Rattus norvegicus: one gene and its partners. The protein of the gene in region 1 purifies or fractionates together with the protein of each later gene. This does not show direct contact. Links are inferred from orthologs where the notes say so. Each region holds a gene or a part of one and is shown in the gene's direction. Other genes may lie near its edges.

Region 1 (4,940 bases):
CTAATGCAGGCGAGTGGTGTCGTCCCACTGCCCGAGACCCGCAGCCCTTGTTCCTGCTTCCGGTCTGGGGCAGAGACTGCCCACTGCTGCTCACACCCAGGGCTGTGTGGTACTCACCGGGGCATCCATCACTCCTGCCTCCGCAGCTCCTGCCTCCGTGCAGCTCCTGTCTCTGTGCAGCTCCTGTCTCTGGTGACGAGAGCCACCGTGTTCTCTTCCACACTCTACCTCCAGTCGGCGCAGTCCTCTCTCCTCTCCTGCTGAGTTGCTCAGTTCTGTTCTCGCTGATTCCCTAGAACAAGTTCAGGGCCTCCTTTGTCATTGACTGTTGGGCTGTGCGTGTGCACACATGTGTATCCCTCTATCCCCCCCCTCGGCCTGTGTGAGGTTTCCTGTCATTGTGTTCGGGGCTCACCTTTGGTGCTGGATACACAGTTGCCGTGAAGATGGCCCCCTCTCAGCTTCCCTCAGTCTGCGGTGGGACACACAGCACCCTGTGGCCTTCCATTCCTGCTGCACAGAGACCCTCCTCACCTTCCGCTTCCGCTCAGGCTGTCTGTGTGCTGGAGGAGCTGCAGGTTACAGTCCTCCTCACACCGGCTGCTGCTTCATTTCTCTCCCATTCTCTTTCCGACATGGCGGATTGCCTTCAGATTGCAGGGAGTTTTGTTTTCTAGAGAGAAAACCATTTCTCATTTCAAAGATTTTTTTAAACTGTCTTGATCGGATTTATGAAGCCCTAAATGTGAGGTGTGAGGTGTAGGGCAGCGTCTGTGGTCTGTCTGCCCTTTCGCCTGTCCCTAGGGTCCCGTCCCTAGTCCTGCTCTTCACCCGCCAAAAGGACCTGTGCTAAAGCCCCGAGTCAGCACTTTGTTTAACTTTTAAAATCCTGCTGACTTCTTTCCATTAGACCACATAGATGTCTTTATCTTTCAGGCCTTTTATTTTCTTCTTAAGTAGACTTCCTGCCGCCCAGTGCCCAGGCTGGCCCCTGGTTTGTGGCGCTCCTCCCATCTCTGCCCCCTGAGTGCAGAGATCACAGGGGTGTGCTGGCAAGCCTGCTTCAGGTTTCATCTCTCTTTTCTTTTTTTTCTTAAGATTTATTTATTTTATATATATGAGTACACTGGCGCTGTCCCCACACACCAGAAGAGGGCCTCAGATCCCATTACAGATGGTTGTGAGCCACCATGTGGTTGCTGGGAATTGAACTCAGGTCCTCTGGAAGAGGAGTCAGTGCTCTTAACCACTGAGCCATCTCTCTAGCTCCTTCTCTTGGTTTTAATAAAGGGAATATTGCTGATCACTTATCCTTGTGCACACAGCACCACATCGTGGCCATCGTGATGCTGTCAGCTGAGCTCCCTGGCCTGCTCCTGCCTTCTTTCTTGCTTGCCCAGCTGTCTTTCACGTCATCTGTATGGAGTCTGTGAGGCCCTTAGATTTAACAGGACTTACTCACGGCTGAGTCCCTGGCCTTTCCTGCTGTGGGCATTGAGTCTCCATGGGCGATCTGTATCCTTGATTCAGTTAGCACTCTGTGGAAATGGCCGGATTTCTTGTACCAATCTCTCGCTCTCAATCTCTAGCTCTTGTTCACGCTAAGGTGTCTATACCAGATTGCTTAATAAGGCTTTAGGACAGACACAGGTCCAAAATCTGCTAGTTAACCATTTAAAAGCTACATCTCACTTTTTAAAAAAATTTCTTAACTTTTTCATCTTCCATGTCCTATAAATTACAACTCCTGATACTCTTAGGGATCCATGTGCTTTCCTTATTTTTAAAAATTCAAGTGTTTATATGTGTATGACTGTGGAAGCTGTGTGGGGTCAGAGAACAGTTTCCAGTGGTCGGTCAGTCCTCCTTGTACCGTGAGTCCTACTGTGGGTGGAATTCAGATGCTCACATGGCCCATGCTTATCCTCTGGCCGGCTTGCTGCCCCTGTTCTTCTTGTGTTCCCTGTGACTTACTTAGAATGCTGCCGTCACAGCCTGTGATGTTTTCTCTCATGTACACTTGCTTTCTAATCTAGTTTCTCCATTCTAGCCAGGGTCATTGTGGTCTTTAAAAAATGAAAACAGGGCAGAGGGAGGAAAAACAAGTTAAATTAAAGGGAGGAAACTGAATGGCTCAGGAGTCCTGCAGTGGAGTTAGAACCATCCGTCACTCCAGTTCTAGGTCACCCCCTTTTCTGGCCTCTGTGAACACCAGGCAAGGTCATGGTACGTACCATACATACATACTTAAACACACACAAAACAGTCACACACATGAAATAAAACGCTCTTTTTTTTTGAGTCTTTAAAATACATGCAGCTGGGCAGGCGCACACCTTTAATCCCAGCCCTCGGGAGGCATGGGCAGCAGAGTTTGAGGCTACCTGGTCTACACAGCAAGTCACAGGTGGCCAGGGCTATACAGAGAAAGCTTGCCTCAAAAAAAAAGTAGAGTCAAGACAGTGTTCACAGAGATCTCACGTTTTCTTCTTCTGTTGTAAATGTTAATTATTTGGTGAGGTAGACACGTTCTCTTGTGGAAATCCAGTGCTGTCCCAGTAGATGGCAGTGTCGCCCCAGCAAACACTGAGGACCGGGCCCTTGAGTGAGGCTGCTTTGCGGTCATCTGGTCTTCCTAGGTCTTCAGGGCTGACTCTGTTTCCAGGGGCATTGATAACAGCAACGCTTTTGTCACACTCAGTCTTCATGTTTGCTGTTAGCTCTCCTAGATGGCCGGGAACTCACCACAGACTCAGAGATCCTGCCCACTCCTTCTTTTTAGTGCAGAGATGAAAAATGTGTGCCGCCATGCTCGTCCTGGTCTGGTTCTTTTTTTTTTTTTGGTTCTTTTTTTCAGAGCTGGGGACCGAACCCAGGGCCTTGCGCTTCCTAGGTAAGCGCTCTATCACTGAGCTAAATCCCCAGCCCCCCTGGTCTGGTTCTTAATGATGGCTTAGTTTACATTTTTAGCCAAGAGTTCCAGAATAAATGTCTTAAATTAATACTGTTGTAATTTATCTTTTAGCTTTGATTTGTAAGTAATTTCTGTTTTTCCTATTATTTTATTCTCTCCTTAGCACGAGAAGCCCTGCCGACGTGGGACAAGCAGATCCAATCACTTTGTTTCCAAGTAAATAACCTCCTGGAGAAGATTAGTCAGACAGCCCCCGAGTGGACAGCGCAAGCCATGGAGGCGCAGATGGCCCAGTGAGTCCTGGAGCTCCGTGCACACTGCGTCTTTGCACTTTGTGCGGATCGATTCACTGCCCTCACAGCATTTGCATCGTGACCATAGACATCTCAGTCCTTTTTTGCCAGCTCCCACGTGAGGACGACGCAGGAGCAAGCAGTGCAGCCTTGAAGCAGTAGCTCCCGTGCCGCCTGGGTCTATGTTGAGCTGACTCGGGTGTCTTGAAAGCTTGTTCTTTAAGTGAGCAAGCGAGCGAGCTGGGTAGTCGTGTAAAACTTCAGTGCTTTGTGCCTCTCCAGATGTGGTTACTCTAATAAACGGAGCGATGAACCAGACGAAGGTCCTGCTTCCTCTAGTGTCTTTGTTCCTTTCCTTTGAATTTAGAAAAGCTAATTTCTGTATCTCATGCTGCAAATACAAGAGTAAGTCCCAGTGCCTGCCTCCAAGCTCTCTGAGGCACAAAGGTAAAGGTGTAAGGTGAACGCCTGAGTTACACACCAGGAGGAGCCCATCAGTCATCAGGGAGCCAACAAGGAAGACTTCAGGATGGTAATTTCAAATGTGATTAGTAGAGAATATGCAGAAAGGACTTTGAGAAGGGTATAAACGACTTTAGCCCCAACAGTTAAAGAGCTTGACCACCCACTTAAAACATTAGGCAGCTTGAAAGTCAGCCCGGACCAGGGGGAAGGATGCGGGGTTGTAGTTCATCAGCTAGGGAGAGGTGATGCTTCTGGAACCGGTACCTGCTTAGCAACTCCAACAGAACTGGCCCTCCTGCAGACCAGGAAGGTTGGGCGCATCCTAGTCTATCAATGTTTCCTTAATTCAGCATTTTGTCTGCCACTCAACTTATACTTGGAAACATGGGTGCTTCCTTCTACAAACTAACTTTGTTTGGGATTAAAGGTGTGTGTACTAATAGGGTGTCTGTGTTCCAGTCAGAGGGATGATGAAAGGTGCTAAGGGCTGAGCCACACCACTAGAAACAGGTTTTTTCAGTAAACAACACAGTCTCAGGGGTCACACTGATCAGATATCCTGCAACAAAGCACACCCTTCTTTTGGAAATACACGTAGCTCATTTTGAAATAATACCCACATTATTTTCCATAAGACAGTCTTGACTTTCAAGGGAAATTACTGTGCCTGGCCTTTGTTGATTTAGAGAACGGGTGTACAATTCTAGCCTTCTTTAAATCAGTTCTCTGTAAGCCTAGGAGCAGCAGACACTTCTGAAGTTCCAAGCCCAGGGATTCAGGCTGAATAAGCAGGCACCCGGGGCCGGCAAGATGGCTCAGCTGGTAAAAGCTGTTGCCCTGCAAGCCTGCTGGCCTGAGTTCACCCCTAAAACCCACAGGAAAGATGATGGTGTGAGTTTGTAGCCCACACACCACTGCGATGAGATGCGTGGGAAGACAAGGGGAACTGGGCTGAATCTCAAACCGGCTAGCCTAGAGTGTGCAGTGCGGCAAACCCAAGGGAGACCCTGCTGCAAAACAGGGTGGAAGCGAAGGAGCAACTCAAAACCTTGTCCTCCAGGGCTGGAGAGGTGGCTCAGCGGTTAGAGCACTGGCTGTTCCTCCAGAGGGCTTGGGTTCAATTCCAAGCACCTACCTGGTGGTTCATAACCATTCATTGTCCCAGTTTCAGGGGATCTGTTCCCCCTCTTCTGGCCTTTGAGGAACCAGGCATGCAAGTGAGGCCTAGACATGCATGCAGGCAAAACACACATCCACATAAAACAAAA
Region 2 (5,084 bases), on another chromosome or scaffold:
CCAAGTCGCATAGTAACACCCCATCTCAAAACCAGACCAAACCAGACCAAACCAATCCCATGGATACATGGTCCTCGTGTGACAGGCTCTAAAGGCCCAGGACTCGGGAAGCTAAACTAGGAATATTGAAGGTTCAAGGTCTACCTGGGGGACAGATCTCCTGTCTCAAAACAAAAATTTCCCACAAAAACAAAAGAAAAGAAAAGGAAAGGAAACAAAACAAAACAAAACCCAACAAACTGAAATATCAACAACCCTAAACAAACACTGGGGATGTAACTCAGTATTTGAGTGATTGCTTACCATGTTTGACTCTAGAATTCCTAGAATCAAAGATCAAAACAAATCAAGCATTAGGTCTTAACATGAGCAAGGTCCTGGGTTCAGTCCCTGTCATTGTCAAGTGCCAAGTGAAAGGAAGTAAGTGAAAGCAGCACAAACTAACTGTGTGTGTATTTGAGAAGGCTTAAGGGCATTCTTTCATAGTTTCCTCTTTTTTTTTTTAAAATCAAGAAATTTTCTCTGCATAGCCCTGTATCCCTGGCTATCCTTGAACTCTTCTTTGTAGACTACATTGGCCTTAGACTCAGAGATCCACCTGCCTCTGTCTCCTAAGTGCCAGAACTAAAGGCATGCATCCCCCATACCTGGCTTGTTCTTTTTGAGACAGGATCTTTCTCTAATAGAGTCCTTTCTGGTTGTCCTGGAACTTACACAGATGCTCCTGCTTTTGCATCCCTTATGCTAGGATTAAAGGCATTGTGATAGCACATCTGGCCTTTTTTTTTTTTTTTTTTTTTCTTTTTTTCGGAGCTGGGGACCGAACCCAGGGCCTTGCGCTTGCTAGGCAAGTGCTCTACCACTGAGCTAAATCCCCAACCCCCCCTTTTTTTTAAAAATAAAAACCTCCATTAAAAATATGGAAAAAATGGCTGGAGAGATGACAGTGATTAAGAGCACTGAATGCTTTTCCAGAGGTCGTGAGTTCCCAGCAACCACATAGTGGCTCATAACCATCCATAATATCCTCTTCTGGTGTGTCTGAAGTATATTTATATACATAAAATAAATAATACTTTAAAAATATGGAGAAAGTGAAAAGGGCAGGTTTACTACATGGTAGAGCAGCTGTCTAGTACTCGTGAAGCTCTGGGTTCAAGCCTCAGCACTGCATAACTTGCTGTGATGGTTACGTATCCCTAATCCTAACACTTGGGAGATAGAGATAGGAGGATAAGAAAAACAAGGTCATTCTTGGGTATAGAGTGAGTTCAAAAATATCCTGGGATACATACCCTATCTCAAAAAAAAAGTAAACCTAGACGGTGGCTTCATAGTGAGACCCAGGTTAGCTGGGGCTACAAGTGAACTAGTGAAAAGCCTGTCTCCCCGTTTCCTGAGATTATAAGTTTTCAACCCACTGGCATTTAGTAAATTCACAATGCATTGTAGGCTCACCTTTTTAGTTTCAAGCCTTTTGTTATTTAGACAGGGTTTTTCTGTGTAGCCCTGGCTGTCCTGAAAGTCTATAGACCAGGCTGGTTTTGAACTTAGATTCTCTTGCCTCTGAGTGCTGGGATTAAAGGTGTGCACCATGGCCACCTGACAGGTATTTTTTTTTTTTTTCCCACATTCTGACATCATTTCTATGTGTGGCCCTAGCTGGAGTAAAACTGATTATGTAGATCAGGCTAGCCTCAGACTCTTTAACAAGTGCCCAATCTCCCCAGACCAGCTTATCCATTACCTGCTCACCTTCACACTTTTTGTGGGAACTATGTCACTTACGTTTGTTTTGTTCATTTCTTATTGTTTTGACTTCTTTAGGCCAAGTCATGACTACAGTAGTGGTACATGTGGACTCCAAAGCTGAGCTCACTACCCTGCTGGAGCAGTGGGAAAAGGACCATGGCAGTGGGCAGGATATGGTACCTATCCTTACCAGGTAAGAATTATTTGTTTTTATTCACAGAAAACTTACCTGTCCTTTCATATACACAAAACTGTTTTAAAAAATGGAGTTAACATAATGGCTGAGCAGTTAAGAACACTTATTATTCATGTAGTTTGTTTCCTAGCATCTATGTTGGGCTGCTTTTAACTGCCTGTAACTCCAGCTCTCATACCCTCTTCTTACCTCTGTGGGTACCCTAATGCATGTGTGTGTACATACGTACACACACACACACACACACACACACACACACACACACACACACATACATAGAGACACCTTAAAAAAGGTTTTAGAAGAAAATATAAGAATATTTTGATAGACTTTGATTTATTTTTTCTCTTTGCTGTTTTGTTTTGTTTTGTTTTTGAAACAGGGTTTTTCTGTGTAGCCCTGACTGTCATGGAACTCAGTCTGTAGACCAGGCTGATAGAACTCAAAGATCTGCTCGTCTCTGCTTCTGGAGTGCTGGGATTAAAAGCATGTGCCACCACCTCTTGGTTGAATTTTTTTTTTTTTAATTTAGGCACGATGATGTGCACTTGTAGTCTCATTGTTGGGAAGGTAGAGACAGAACAATCTCTGAGGCTTGCTAGCTAGCCTGCCTCTCCTGTTTGGTGAGTTCCAGTCCAGTGAGAGACCTTGCCCCAAAGAAAAACCACATGGAGTGCATTCCTAAGGAATGAAACTTGAGATTGTTTTCTGGCCTCCACACATATGTACACATGTACACCTGTACATACACAAGAAAAAGAATGACTTCGTGAGTGAAAAGGAATTTGTTATTGGAACATGGATGCTTTCTTAGAAGGATCTTGGCATAGTAAGACTTTATATGATTCTCTTTAGGTGAAATCCTGGAACAGGCAAAACTAATCTTTTATAAAAGCAAAAGAATATTTACTTGTTGGAACCATGGTAGAAGCCTAGAGGGTGGGAGGAACATTATAAGCTAACAAATTAAGGCATGGAATGGCCCTGAAGCAGGAATGAACTGGAATATTTTGAATAGCAGAGAGGGCCATGTGTTTGAAGTTTAATAAAATATTAGAGATAGAAGAGTAAAAGAAGCTTTTACAAAATTGGTAGAAGCTAGATAATTGCAGGCTATCATAGTGCTTGGACTTAATTTAAGGAATGGAAGCTGGAGACCAAATTATGTTAGGTAAAGCAGAGAAGTAGGAAACAAGAGCTGAGAATTGGTTTTAGATAGTGGTGACTGGCAGGCATGTACTACCGTGCCTGTCTGGAAATGAAGGTTTTAATGATGACTTACTAGCTTAAGTTTCTGAGGTGAGGGTGCTTTGTAATGCAAGGAGACGGAGTGTAAATTATTTTATGAGGTGATTTAGACTTTATTATTCATCAGAAAAATCATGCTTTTCTAACTTTGTGTTATGCCCCTTTAATACTGATACACTTTTTTGTATTTTAATTTAGCTTTTTTTTTCTGACATGGTCTTACTGTATGGCTCTAACTGACCTGATAGTGTTTACTAAGTAGCCTAGGTTGGCCTTGAACTTAAGGCAGGCCTCCTGCCTCAGTCTTCTGAGTGTTGGGATTACAGGTATGTGTTACTATGCTTAGTATTTTTGTGTGTGCTTGTTCAGAGTTAACTTGTTAACTCTTTTCCTTTCTTGCTAGGATGTCTGAATTAATTGAAAAAGAAACCGAAGAATATCGTAAAGGAGATCCAGATCCGTTTGATGATCGACATCCTGGTAAGATGTATACTTTTACATCTGAGACTTTATTTTCTATTTCTTTTGGAAGAGGGTTGTGTTTTGTTGCTCAGACAGGTCTAAAACTCTTGATTCTCCATAGCCCCTGAGTAGCTGAGATACAAGTGTGGGCCACTGAGCCCATGTGTTCTTTCTTAGAAAGGAAAATTGTTGTGCCTTACAAATGACTTGGTGGGTAAAAGTGCCTGCCACCATCCTGATATCTTTAGTTCTAGGTTTGATCCCTGGAGCACACATAAAGGTAGAAGGAGAGAACCATTTCCCAAAATTGTCACCTGATTTCCACACATGTGCCTGAGCACTGTGGCATGTTCATATATACACTTTGTATATTATATGTCTCTAACACAAGTAATAATAAAAAGCAATTAAAAAGAAAATTGCTGGGCAGGAGAGATGGCTCAGTGGTTAAGAGCACTGACTGCTCTTCCAGAGGTCCTGAGTTCAATTCCCAGCAACCACATTGTGGCTCTCAACCATCTGTAATGGGACCCGATGCCCTCATCTGGTGTGTCTGAAGACAGCTACGTTGTACTCACATAAATAAATCTTATTTTAAAAAAAAAAAAGGAAAAAGAAAATTGCTCAATTAAGATAGCATCCCCAATATTTTAAGTTCTTAAATTTTGTTGGGCGGCTGGAGAGATGGCTCAGTGGTTAAGAGCACCAACTGCTCTTCCAGAGGTCCTGAGTTCAAATCCCAGCAACCATATGGTGGCTCACAACCATCTGTAATGGAATCCGATGCCCTCTTCTGGTGTGTCAGAAGACAGCTACAGTGTACTCATATACAAAATAAATAAATCTTTAAAAAAAAAAAAAAAAAAAAAAAAAGAGCACTGTCTGCTCTTCCAGAGGTTCTGAGTTCAATTCCCAGCAATCACATGGTGGCTCACAACCATCTATAATCGGGTCTGGTGCCCTCTTCTGCCCTGCAGGTGCATACATGCAGACAGAAAGCTGTGTGATGTATACATAATAAATAAATAAATGTTAAAAAAAATTTTTGCTGGGCATGATAGCACATGCCTTTAATTCCAGCAATCAGAAGGCTGAGGCTGTGGATCTCTGAGTTCAAGGAGTTCCAGGTTAGTTAGGAGGCTGGATTATGTGCTGACGCCCTCTTAAATAAAAAACAAAGCAACAACTTAAATTCCTTATGCTATTTCTGAAGTGTGGGACAAGGAAGAAAAATAAACATCTAGTAAAATTGAAATATTTGATGGTTACAGATCAAATAGAATATAACTAACTCAAGGAATTAAATTAGATATACTTTAAAAAGACTTGGATCTTTCTTTTCTGACCTTTTAATTTTTTTGTGTATTTTTCCCCCAAGATAGGATTTTTAGATGTAGCCCTGGCTGTCCTGGAACTCATTCTATAG
Region 3 (5,084 bases), on another chromosome or scaffold:
CCCAGTGCTGGTATTAAAGGTATGTATGTACCAAAACACTCAGCTGTCTTTTCATTTTTTAAGTTTAGTTTTATTTTATTTCTGAGATAGGGTCTCATTTTATATATCTAGTTGTCCTCGAACTCATGTTGACCAGAATGGCGTCACTGAGCTCTACCTGCCTCTGCCTTCCAAGTACTGGGATTAACATGTGCCTATCCTATCATCTTTTTAAAACAGTACTTTAAATGACAATTATTCCTCAGTTTTAAATTTTCCCTTCTTAAGAACCTTGAAATCTTTTAGAGTGAGGCTGTGCATCTCTCTCAGTACATAGATGATCAATTGTAAAATGCAATTACTTAAGCAGTCTGGTTATATCAGAACAGTTAAAATTCTTAGCAGTTTTGATACCCAGCTATTAGTGTCTCAAAATTTAACTGTTGTCACCTGTTTGTGTTTTTGTTGTTTTAAGCTTTGTTTTAATTATAATTTATATAAATTATATTAAATTTATATTTATATAATGTATAATTATATTTATAAAATAATTTATTTGGGTATTTGTCTGCATGTTTATCTGTATACTACATGTGTACAACGTTCTTAGACTCCAGAAGCAGGCATTAGATTCCCTTGGAACTGCAATTACAGATAGTAGTTAACTGTCTTCTGAGTGCTTCAAATGGAACCTGGGTCCTCTGCAAGAACAAGAAGTACATCTCTCCAGCCCTGTTTTGATTTTTGAAATTTGATTTTTTTTTAGATACTCAGGCTGACATAGAACTTTATTTAATTCTTATTTCAATGTAGGACTACAGGCATGACCACCACACCTGACTTACCCAACTTATTCTGTTGCATATTTCCTTTTCGTTGAATGAATCATTAGTCACTTTGAATGTAAAGCTCAGCTTTGTTTTTGGTTTTTTATTATTCTCATTAGTATTCTATATATTTCTCTCTGGGTCTTTGGTAGACTTGGATACTTTTCCTAACTTCCTTCTCCTAAAGGCTGTAATAGGGAGCTTTATCTTTGACTATAAACATACTTAGCTTACACTATAGTATTCTGATCATGGTTTTCATTCTAGTATGCAGGGTATAATTCATTATTGACATACATATACTGTAAAAGTCAAAGTGTTAAAAAATAGCTTAGGACTGTGTGATCACTGCCATTAAGCAAAATCAAGGAGACAGGATATACATATAAAAAGCAAGAGTATTGATTTACTGAGGTGTGGTGGGTGGTGGGAGCATTAGGCAAATCTGTGACAGTGAAAGGAGTTACCTTATTTGGAAGAAGTGGTACCCAGTTTAATAGAAATAGAAAATGTGTATCTTGTGGGAAAAGATAATAGATGTGTCAAGAACTGTTTTATGAGATAAAGGAGAACTCAGAAGGAAGTAGGATAAATAGAATGTATTGAAGAATAAAAAATAGGGAAAGTAAAAAATGAAGTGTGTATTATGTCATTGACAACGTAAGTAGGAAATGAGAAATGCTTGAGAAAATGAGTCAGCCATTCAAAAAACAAGATACAGTAAAAAGTGCCATAAAGGGAGGAGGACACCCCATCTAGGATCAGTATGAATAGAGGAGCACATGAAATAAACAAGTTCACTCTTAGATATTTGTTTCCTAACCCCAGGTTACATGGATTGTAACTGAATCTGTCTTTTTCCTATTTGTTCATAGCTGTTAAAGCTGATGGGTCTATTCTCTCCTGTTGAGGATTGATGGTTTTCCTCCAGTGGAATAAGGAAGTTCCTTTTTAAGCTTTATTTTTAAAAAAAAATGGGATCACTGAACTTGCATTCTAGCAATGTGACTTCTAGCTACACTGTTTACAAAATTCCACTCAGACCAACAGAGTTTGGACTTCCCCAGTCCTTTTTAATGGAATGGGGTTTTTGTCTTCCATTGTGGCATGAGAGGAATCTTGGTGTTACACTTAAGCCATTACCAATTGTGGTTAACATTAGAGTGACCACACCTGTTGTTTTAAACTTGACTTTTTTGTTAAAAGGTTTATTTATTTATTATATATGAGTACACTGTAGCTGTCTTCAGATACACCAGAAGAGGGCATCTGATCTCATTCCAGATGGTTTTGAGTCACCATATGGTGGCTGGGGATTGAACTCAGGACCTCTGGAAGAGCACTGAGTGCTCTTAACCACTGAGCCATCTCTCCAGCCCTTTGAAAGACTTTTGATACACATAATAAACACAAAATCTGAACTTGTTAAGATTTGAGGATAAATTCAAGTATTCTAATGAAGTAAAAATATATTCATTCTGTTGTTAAGAGTATGAATTCTGGGGATTCAAGCTGGTTAGGCAAATATTCTACCACTAAGCCCAATTTGCAGTCCCTATTTTCAATTATTTATAAACTGAAAATTGGAGAAAATGTCATAGTGTTTAATTATATCACACTGGTTTAAACACTGCTAGCAATAATTTCCACTTTATTGTATTCAGGAATATCCAAGGAACTATTAGTTTTACTTGAGTTATAGTAGTCATTTCTGGCCCATCTCATACATACAAAACAGGCAAAATTATTTTTAAATTTAATGCATTCTGCTTATGAAAATTATTTGTAACAAGAATGCTTTTGTATGTAGTACAAAACTTTGCATGATTCTCTTCAGCCTTTACTTTTAGTATAGCCCTCATAAACATACAAATGTGGACTTATCTTGGTTTTCACCCACATTGGTCAATTTTCTTGTTTAATCCTGAGTGTGTCTGTGTAAGTAAAGTTTTCTAGGCTAGCACAAAACTCCTAATACTCCCGCTTCGGCATTCTGGGTTGATTCCATTCTTTTGCTTTTTAAAATTGACAAATACTTTATTTTCAATGAGCTGATACAATGTATAAAAAATCATGACTTCATGTGATAATTGAGACCCCTACCCCAACTCTCTCCTGTCCTACAAAATTACCTGTTTTATCTTACAGGCTGTAGAAAATCTTTGTTCTTACAAGATTTCTGCCAATTTGTATAAGCAGCTGAGGCAGATCTGTGAAGATCACATCAAAGCACAGATTCATCAGTTCAGAGAATATCCTTTTTAAAACAAAATGTCACATTTATTTATGTATGTATTTTATGTATGTTCTACTTAACATGTATGCCTGTATGACAGAAGAGGGCATCAGAGAGAAGAGGGTAGTAGACTCTATTGTACATGGAAGCAGCCATGTGGTTGTTAGAAATGTAAGGACCTCTGGAAGAACAGCCAGTACTCTTAACTGCTGAGCCATCTCTTGAGCCCCTCAAAACAAAGTATCTTAAGTTTTTTCATTACTCATTACCTCTCACTGCTTGGCTCAGTTTGAAATGGAATGCCTGTGCTGAAAGATTTATTTTTGTCCTCTTATCTCTGAAGGAAAGAACAAAGTTTTAAAACATTTCAGTGTCAATTATAGTTAAGATCTATACTTACAGTTTTTAAGTAAAAATTTCCTGTCATTAGCCTCTGTCCTGACAAATTTCTATTTGAGGGAAATCATAAATAAAAAACATGCTCAGTTAGGTTTAAGACTGGTTTTAAAGATACGTTAAGGGGGATCAAATTTGTTTCTGCAGTTTAAAAATTAGAATTGTGTTTTATAATTTGTATTATCAGTTTATGGGGTAGTCTATATTTTAAGACAAATACGTTTTATATTACACATATTACTTATATGATACATTTTAAAATATTCTTAACATCTGTCTCATGGATTCATTGGATAGTGTTCTTTTTCTAAAAAAGATTGATAGATGCTGGCAAAATCATTGTAGGCAAATGGTGAGTTGGAAACAAGACTGATTATTTCATTGCAAAAACATTTAGGTGCTAGAATGTTTGGATATCTTGTTGGACGTATTGGGATACAGCTGGTGGGAAAGTCTGGTGTTTATTCTTTATATTAATGCAAATAGAAATCTTGAAACCCACTTCCCACCTCCTAAACACCATGGGTACAAGTTTAAGAGAGTTTTACCCCCTAGCACTGCTGCTAAGAAAGACTAAGTGTACCTTAGATTCCCTCTTTTTTTTTTCTGAGACAAGATCTCATTGTGTAGTACAGACTGGCCCGAAATTTCAAGATCTTTCTGTCTTAGGCTCTTGAGTTGCTGGGATTATAGGCATATGTCCCATGCCTACCTCCAGTTTTTCTTTTTAGTTATTTAAGTAGCAAAGATCTCAGAGGACCATCTTAATTCTGTGTTCTCTAGAAACCACAAGAAGGATTAATAGATTAGTTTAAAAATAAATATATGGGACATATTCTCAGCTAGATATATTTGTTTGCAAGTTGGATCCTATTAGCCTATTTAATATAAAATTTTCCAAATTCTCATTAAGAGCTAATATTGTAGTTTCAAATTTACAAAAATTGCTTGATTTTTTTTTTCTTTTTATTTGACAGATAATGATCAGGAGCATTTTTTTGTTTCTGGATAGAACTTATGTTCTTCAGAATTCAATGCTGCCCTCTATTTGGTAAGGATGCCAGAAGATTATTATGAAAAATTTTGTTATATATCATAGTCTTAATTATTCTAAGAGAACAAGCTGTACTCAGAATATTCTCCTAAAAATTCACGTTTGGATTCTAGCATTTTGAGGGTTTTTGTTTTGTCTATGCTAATACAGCAGACAGCTAACTTTCTCTCATAGTATTTCTTAATGTTAGGTGTGAAGATTAAAGTTTAATCTAGAATTTCTGTGCCTGAATATTATTGCTGCTGATCATTAATGTTTTGCTCTTTTATTTTTCTTGTGACTTTATACTAAAAAGTGTTGTTTATGAAAATAAGATAGCATAATGTCTTGATCCTTCAGCAGATGCTTAGCATATACCTACAGTAATGATTGAAATGTACTGATTTTACGATTTTGAAGCCATTTATGAATGACCAAATAAGCTAGTCAATACCAGTATAGTGGAAAGTATTTTTGTCTTTGAACTAATTTTATTTCTGACTTCACTAAGATTATCATCAGAGGAAATAGGACACTAAAACCTAGTTATGGAGGAAGCCAGGAATTCAGCTTCAGTTCTCATTTAAGACAAAATGGGTTTCCTATATGCTTT

The links. Proteins that work in one complex are often made in the same cells at the same time.
Region 2: the proteins of Cops4 (region 1) and Dcaf1 purify together in Homo sapiens (affinity purification with mass spectrometry; 4 studies listed by BioGRID, with this or other methods). This does not show direct contact. The link is inferred for Rattus norvegicus from reciprocal best matches to the Homo sapiens genes COPS4 and DCAF1.
Region 3: the proteins of Cops4 (region 1) and Cul4b purify together in Homo sapiens (affinity purification with mass spectrometry; 9 studies listed by BioGRID and IntAct, with this or other methods). This does not show direct contact. The link is inferred for Rattus norvegicus from reciprocal best matches to the Homo sapiens genes COPS4 and CUL4B.

The regions. Positions count from the first base shown.
Region 1 is NC_086032.1:9,381,482-9,386,421, reverse strand, and holds the end of Cops4 (COP9 signalosome complex subunit 4), read left to right. Parts: intron 1-3,077; coding exon 3,078-3,211; 3' UTR 3,212-3,525; downstream 3,526-4,940. UniProt on the Homo sapiens protein: Component of the COP9 signalosome complex (CSN), a complex involved in various cellular and developmental processes.
Region 2 is NC_086026.1:116,358,725-116,363,808, forward strand, and holds part of Dcaf1 (DDB1- and CUL4-associated factor 1), read left to right. Parts: intron 1-1,827; coding exon of another isoform or gene 1,828-1,835; coding exon 1,836-1,945; intron 1,946-3,599; coding exon 3,600-3,676; intron 3,677-5,084. UniProt on the Homo sapiens protein: Acts both as a substrate recognition component of E3 ubiquitin-protein ligase complexes and as an atypical serine/threonine-protein kinase, playing key roles in various processes such as cell cycle, telomerase regulation and histone modification.
Region 3 is NC_086039.1:122,171,024-122,176,107, reverse strand, and holds part of Cul4b (cullin-4B), read left to right. Parts: intron 1-2,954; coding exon 2,955-3,058; intron 3,059-3,720; coding exon 3,721-3,790; intron 3,791-4,415; coding exon 4,416-4,489; intron 4,490-5,084.